Coturnix japonica: one gene and its partner. The protein of the gene in region 1 binds, or shares a complex with, the protein of each later gene. Links are inferred from orthologs where the notes say so. Each region holds a gene or a part of one and is shown on either strand. Other genes may lie near its edges. The genes, in order: DNM1L and MIEF2.

Region 1 (4,309 bases):
TACCATACTTTTATAATTTCCCCAGGAATCCTGGTGCTTAACGTACTCAGAAATGACATCCTGAGGTAGATTTATATCAGGTCAGATTCAGTGCGGCAGTTCCTGTTTTCTTATGTTAATTAACCTTTAGTAAAAACCAGTCTGTCTCTTATCAGATCTTTGAGTTTCTTGCCCTGTACAACATAAGCCTATTAAGGAAATTAGATAATTAAAGCTCAGGATGGTCACTGCTTGCCAAAATGATGATTGCTTTGGTGCAGTTGCTCTGGATTGAGGTAAATGCTGGCTTTGGTAAGTTGGTAATAGACACAACATTTTATAGCAAAGGTATTTCCAGAACCCACTTTTTAGCCAGAAATAGACAATGTGGTAAGATTTTCTTCCTTGGGTTTCCTAATCTTATTTAGTCTTATTTAGTCCGCTCTTCTTGTTTCTCTTCTGTTCATTAATTCATTTCATCCATTTAAGTTGTGTTTCTCCATGTGGGTATAGTGTCCTTGATGGTATTTTTTGACAGTTCTGCTGGGAAAGCTGAGTTATCTCTACACATTTTGGCAAATGATATTTTCACTGTGTTCTTAATGAAATATATTACACTGATTAAATTCTAAGAATAGCCATATTGGGATGGACTAAAGGTCAAGCACTGAGCGCTTGTGCACGACAGTCACCCTGTTTCCAACCACTAGTAGCTTAGAAACATCCAGATCTAGGTTTAATTTCCACATCCTTATGTATTTATATGCAATACACTGTGTTGTATGAGTTGAGTTGGGTTGTTCAGGCCTAGAAAGGTTGCGGGGTGACCTCATTGCAGCCTTTCAATACCTAAGGGAACTTACTCCCAGGAGGGGAGTAAACTCTTCGAAAGGGCTGACTAATAGCAAGGAACACAGGGAAATGGTTTTAAAGTTAAAAAGAGGGAAGATTAGGATTGATGTTAGGACGGGAAGTCTCTTCACTAGGAAGAGTCGGTTTAAGGCCTGGAAACAAGGTGCCCAGGGAGGTTTGTGGAATGCCCCGTCCTTGGAAGGTGTTCAAGACCAGGGGTTGGACGGGCCCTGCAAACCTGAATCTAGTAAAATGTGTCATGTTTGGTGGCGCCCTAGCCAGGCCAGGGGGGAATTGGGAACCTACATGAATCCTTGAAAGTCCCTTCCAACCCGGGTCATTCTGTGATTCTGTGTTAATGATCCTAATAGCTCTGAGAGCAATTGGTTTCAGCACACCTAAGCGAATGGACGATCTCCACAGGCCTTGGGCCCAGTGCGGCCGGCCCCATTCCTCACTACATGTCCCGTGGATCCCCGCGGCGCTCAGCCCGCACTGCCCGCTGGGGGCCGCGCCGTGCGCGGGGGCCGGCTCCAATGGCGGCAGGCGGAGGGGGCGGCTGACGGGAGCCGCTGCCCGTCGCGCCCATTCATCGCCGACGTCTTCCCCGGCTTTCTCTGTTCCCTCAGCCCCTCCGGGCTGTGTCCGCCTCCGCCGCCATGGAGGCTCTGATCCCGGTGATCAACAAGCTGCAAGATGTCTTCAACACGGTGGGGGCCGACATCATCCAGCTGCCGCAGATCGTGGTGGTGGGCACGCAGGTGAGGCGGGGCGGGACGAGGCGGCGGGTACGACCGGGCCGCACCGCCCCGGGTTAATGTCGGCTCGTCCCCTGCTCCTCTGGGGCCGCTGAGCCGCGGTCTCCGTTTCCAAGGGCACGGGGGGACGAGGGCGGCCGGGACGCCCTTAGCTGTGCCCGCGGCCCCCCCCGTTGGCGCTGGGAGTGCCCGTGCCACCGCCCTCCTTCCCCCGCCGGTTCTAACGGCCGCGGCGCTCCCCGGGGCAACCCCCCGGCCTACGGGCCGCTGAGCTGAAGGGATGGAGAGCAGAGGGACGGCACCTGCGGGTGTCGGCTGTGCTGAGGGGTCGCTGAGCTGTTGTGCCGCCTTTAGGACCTCTTTGTTGGCAGCCAAAGCGGCCTGTCTTGGCGTTACAGTGTGTCCCAGCCTGGTAACGCTGAGGGGCTGAACGAGCAGCTCCAGACCCTTCTGATGTATCCAAACGGGGCTCCAGACCCTTCTGATATATCCAAACGGGACTTCAGATCCTTCTGGTGTATCCAAACGGGACTCCAAACCCTTCTGGAGGACCCAGCGTCCAAACGGGACGCTGTTCCTCAGCATAACTTCCAGTCCAGAACGGTGGCGGTCATAGGAGAAGTGAAAATGAAACATTAAACACAACCAAAACTTGGCTTTAGTACATCACCTTCTTTCTTTTTATTTATTGAATATATGCCGTTACTTGACAATAGTAGGCTGACATCAAGAGAATTGTGCTAGATGCTCTGCAGCTGGGTATCGTTACATGGCTTTGAAGGCACCGACTGCAAGCTTATAGCTGAAGCATGGCATGGCTTTCCTCAAAGCCAGTTGTGGTGTGGTTGTAGGGTAGGCAGCTCTTCCTTTGCTTAACCACCATCAGTCAGCTGGTTCAGAGACTCTGTGTCAGCTGCCTTATAAAAGAGATCCACAACACCGGCGCTGAGGAGGAGACTTTGTACTGGTCAGTTATATCAGGTCCTTGGTTTCTGCTGATCGCAGGAGCCCTTTGCTGTGTAGAAACTTCCAATCTCATTATATTAACAATATAAACTGATTTTGTTGTTGTCAATGCTGTTTTTTTATTTCTCTATCAGAAGGGTGTAAAGCAGAGGTGTGATGTTTTTATACTTGAAATTCATGGAAATATGCCTTTCAGCTTCATTCCAATGTGCTGAAGTCTTTTGTAACGACCTTATCTTAGTTAACTTAGTTAACTTAAAAGTACATGGAGTACATAGGACTATTTTCGCATACAGAGGCTACTTTGGAAGTCATGCCTCCTAGTTTATTGTATTGGCCTACAGTGTCAGAGGTGGATGTAGGTGCTTTGGCAGTAGAGGTTGAACCTTCCCGTCAATATTCTGTTCATTACATTATGTTGCGGTGTAACAGATGGCAGCAGAGGGGCAGGCTGACTAAGTGGTGTCTGATATGGAAGCGCATATGAAACAAATGTGGGGAACTGAATTCCTCCGCAGAAAAAATGGCACTCGTTGTCATTCTTTGATGCTTGTTGAACCTTTATGGAGCCCAAACATTGGATGTGAGTGCAGTGAGGCAGTGGGTGGTGCATTTCAGCTGCGGTGACAGCGATGTGAAGGGCAAGCCATGTTCCACACATCCATGCACAGCTGTCACATCATGAAATGAAGACCGTCTCAGTCCGCTCATCCACACAGATCAGCAGATTACAAGCAGAGAATTGTGTGCAGACCTAAATATCAATTTCATTGCATTGGAAATGATGGTGGCAATGTTGGAATATCACAAATTTAGTGCTGGGTGGGTCCCATGAGTTCTCACACAGGATCAGAACGAACATCATATGCAGGTTTATCAGGTCCTGCTGAACCAATATGAGATGACTGTTTCCTGTATTGAATCATTATCAGTGACAGGACACGGTGTCAACACTAGGAACCGAAGTTCCAATGGCTGTCCATGGAGTGGTGATACAAACTTCTTCAATGGGAATTTAACAGGGCGCAGCCCTCAGTGGTTAAAGTGATGCACGTTGTCTTTTGGGATGGGAAAAGGGTAATCCTGGATTTCCTGAGACCTGGACAAACCATGAATTCTGACTCATAACAACACTGACTAAGCTGAAGCTTCAAACTTCCGTAGTCAGGCCAGGAAAGAAGACAGTGGAAATGAGTAGTCTGCCCTTCTGTATTAATACCCCTTTGGTGTTAAGACCTGTGAGTAAGGTATAGTGGTACTGTATCTTTTAGGAGACCAGCTTGAATGCCTTTATTTACCTCAGGAAAATATGTAGCAAATTGGATGGGAAACTGTAGCCAAATTTTGTTCTTTTGTTTAAGTCTCAGCTCCTGAAAAATATAATTGTCTTCATGGACGCAGTGACTCTGTAGTTATTTTCTGCAGTTATTTCATACTTAAGATTGTATTCGTTTAGTCCTTTCAATGTAGTTTATGGCAGCCCAGGTTTCTGGAGATGTCTCACATATGTCCTTAGGGCTGACGGTTTTGCTGCTGAGAATTGGCTTCCATGTGTTTTTGAAACCTGCCTTTTAACAGCGTTGTCCCTTAAGATATTTTTGGTTAAGTGCTGTGTGACTCCAAGCTTTCCCCCATAGTTGACTGTAAAAGTCATCTCTGTACCCTGGTATGGAATCTGCTAAGAAAACTGCCGATGATAGGACTTGCAGGGCACCCTTACACGGCCAACTATGTATTGCTATTTTAGGGTTTCG
Region 2 (2,413 bases), on another chromosome or scaffold:
AACGAGACCCTACACAAGATGTTGGTGGCCTCCATCAACTGGCCGGCCATCGGCAGCCTGCTGGGGACGGTCATCCGCCCGCTCGTGGCCTCCCGGGAGCTGAGGCTGGATGTCAAACACGATCAGGTTGAGCTGAGCATCGGCCTCTTCCCAGTGGTGGAAATGGAGGACAAAGTTCTTCTGGCCGCTCCTCCTGAAGGACTGGTGGAAAACCTCTGGCTCGAGAGCTTTGGCAGGGCGGAGGTCTTGAAGGTGAAGGAGCTGGATGCTGGTGATGCTGGTGCTCGGCAGCACTGCCTCCGTATCCTGAATGGGGTCTGCAGGATCCATCCTGCCCTGCACAAGCTGAGCGGCAGCCCCTTGGCACACGTCATCCTTCACCTGAGCACCACTGAGTCAGACTGGGCAGAGGAAAGCCTGGCCACCAGGTTCCAGCAAGTGCTCGAGGAGCTGGTGGGTTACCTGGAGAATGGGGTCCTGCCTTGCTACTTCAACCCCAAAGTCAACCTTTTCTGTGACCTGCTGGAAGAGGAAATAGAGGAGATGGGCTTCCTGCTCTATAGGGCTGTGTCTGAGCCAGGACTCCTGCTGACAGAGAAGTGACTGGTGCAGCGGGAGCTACTGAGCGTGGGGTGTTCCTCAGCTGTCTGGGCTGTGATGCTTCTAGTTGACTAGTCGGCAGGAGGCCAAGTTCTTGCACTTTATGAACAAAAGTATTTCCTTTCTGAATAAAACGTGCCTGAGAGTAATGGGTGATGGTGTAAGAAGCCATTTGCTGTGGGGCTCTGCCTTACCCACAGGGAATGCAGCCCTAAAGCAAAGTCCCATCTGCTGGGAACCAACATGGAACAAGTTTGGCTGCTGGATCTCAGCAAACTGCTCCTTCCCAGCCTGCCATCCCAACCTCTAGGCTCCCCCTGTGCTCCAAACAGAGACCTGAGCAGTTCAGAGCTTCCCCTGCCCCTTGTAGCACGCACGTCCCTTGATGCTGCTACAAACTTCATGGCTTATGATGTGCTGTGTGGGTCCTTCTGTGAGCACCGAGCTCAGTCATGCAGTGCCATGGGGTGAGGTGGGAACATTGTTCCATGCCAGGGAACAATGGATGCTGCAAGGTAATGCCATGGCAGGGTTACTCTTTGGAAATCATTTCAGGTACCAAATGACAGCCCGAGCTCAGCGCTGCCGGCTGCTCTGCCAGCATCAGCTCTGCCCCCAAGGAGGGTTCTCCATGGACATTCTCTGAGCTGCTGTGCTGCAGCATGGGCTGACAGCTACAGGAGCTGCAGCCTCCTGGTGGACACCAGTGCCCATCTAACAGGCCATGGTGTCCCCTCCCAGCCTGTCAAGTGACCTTTTCACGTATGTGTTGCTGCTGTTTTAATGTCCTGTTGCCCCGAAGCCTCATGGTGTGGGGCAGGAAAGGACTGGATTGATGCACAGAGCAGAGTACTTGCAAGAAGTCAAGAGGTGGTTTGTACTTCTTTTCATTAAGATCTATTTTGTTTGAGTATCTTTTTGTCGTTTTGGCTTTTTTTGCCTTTGAGTGGCTGCTGGTAGGTTTTGTTTCTGATTGTAATCCAAGTGTGAAGGAATACATTCTTGTATTTAATGGGAAGAGTGATGCTGTTTTTGCACACTGGTAGAGATGGTGAAATCCTGTGGGCTTTAGTGTGAGCATCTGTTGTGGTTTAGTTTTCTTTACAACCATCTTGTTTACGGGAGGATAAAAAAATCACTATGCCTTTCCTCTTAGTCTGAAGACGACTTGGTTTGTTCCTTCGAGCAACTTCCCAAGTGTTAGTGACAAGAATAAATCCTTGCTGTGTACACTGGTTCTCTCATCTCATATGTTTTGTCTCCTGTCCCGTAGTAAGGGCTGAAGCTGAGCTCCTGCTGTGGCAGCATTCCTGGAAGCAGTGCAGCTGTGGTACACCCTATGCAGAGCGTGGCAGCACTTGGACCCCATGGTGCACGGCTTTTCTCTTCCTCTTGCAGACCACCACATAAAGCACCCAGTGCTGCCTGGATGCTGAGCTCTTTGCTGTTTAGCCAGCAGCCCTAACTGCTCTGCTGCCTGAACGCTAACCGGGGTTAAACCAGTAGAGCTGGTAATGGCAAATGCCATCAGCAATGCTAAACCTGTGTGCTATGCAGACTGTTTCTGCTGCTGTTGCCATTTGGAGGCTGCCCAGCTCTAGCCATGCTTTAGCCAGCTGGCTGATTGCATTACGAAGCCGTCTAATCCTGTTATTTTAGACAGTAGGTTTGTATTTTTAGGTTACAGCTGTTAATAGTGGGAGAGAGGGGTACAGAGAAATGCAATGTAGGTTCTCCTGACTGTACTCCATAGGTCTGATAGCTACTTCTGTAGACTTGAAAGCTCTTCTTGCTTGTGCAGAGCTGAAAATGA

What was found.
Region 2: the proteins of DNM1L (region 1) and MIEF2 are in contact, whole or in part, in a cryo-EM structure (PDB 5WP9), measured with the Homo sapiens proteins. The link is inferred for Coturnix japonica from reciprocal best matches to the Homo sapiens genes DNM1L and MIEF2. Residues at the interface, in NP_036192.2 of Homo sapiens: Asp190, Met191, Ala192, Thr193, Ser194, Leu197, Lys198, Ile199, Arg201, Glu202, Gly223, Thr224, Asp225, Asp228, Arg233, Val234; in NP_631901.2 of Homo sapiens: Val213, Asp214, Thr215, Val216, Arg218, Arg226, Leu230, Arg235, Val245, Gly246, Tyr248.

The regions. Positions count from the first base shown.
Region 1 is NC_029516.1:53,516,712-53,521,020, forward strand, and holds the start of DNM1L (dynamin-1-like protein), read left to right. Parts: upstream 1-1,330; 5' UTR 1,331-1,490; coding exon 1,491-1,592; intron 1,593-4,309. UniProt on the Homo sapiens protein: Functions in mitochondrial and peroxisomal division.
Region 2 is NC_029529.1:5,102,991-5,105,403, forward strand, and holds the end of MIEF2 (mitochondrial dynamics protein MID49), read left to right. Parts: coding exon 1-603; 3' UTR 604-1,837; downstream 1,838-2,413. UniProt on the Homo sapiens protein: Mitochondrial outer membrane protein involved in the regulation of mitochondrial organization.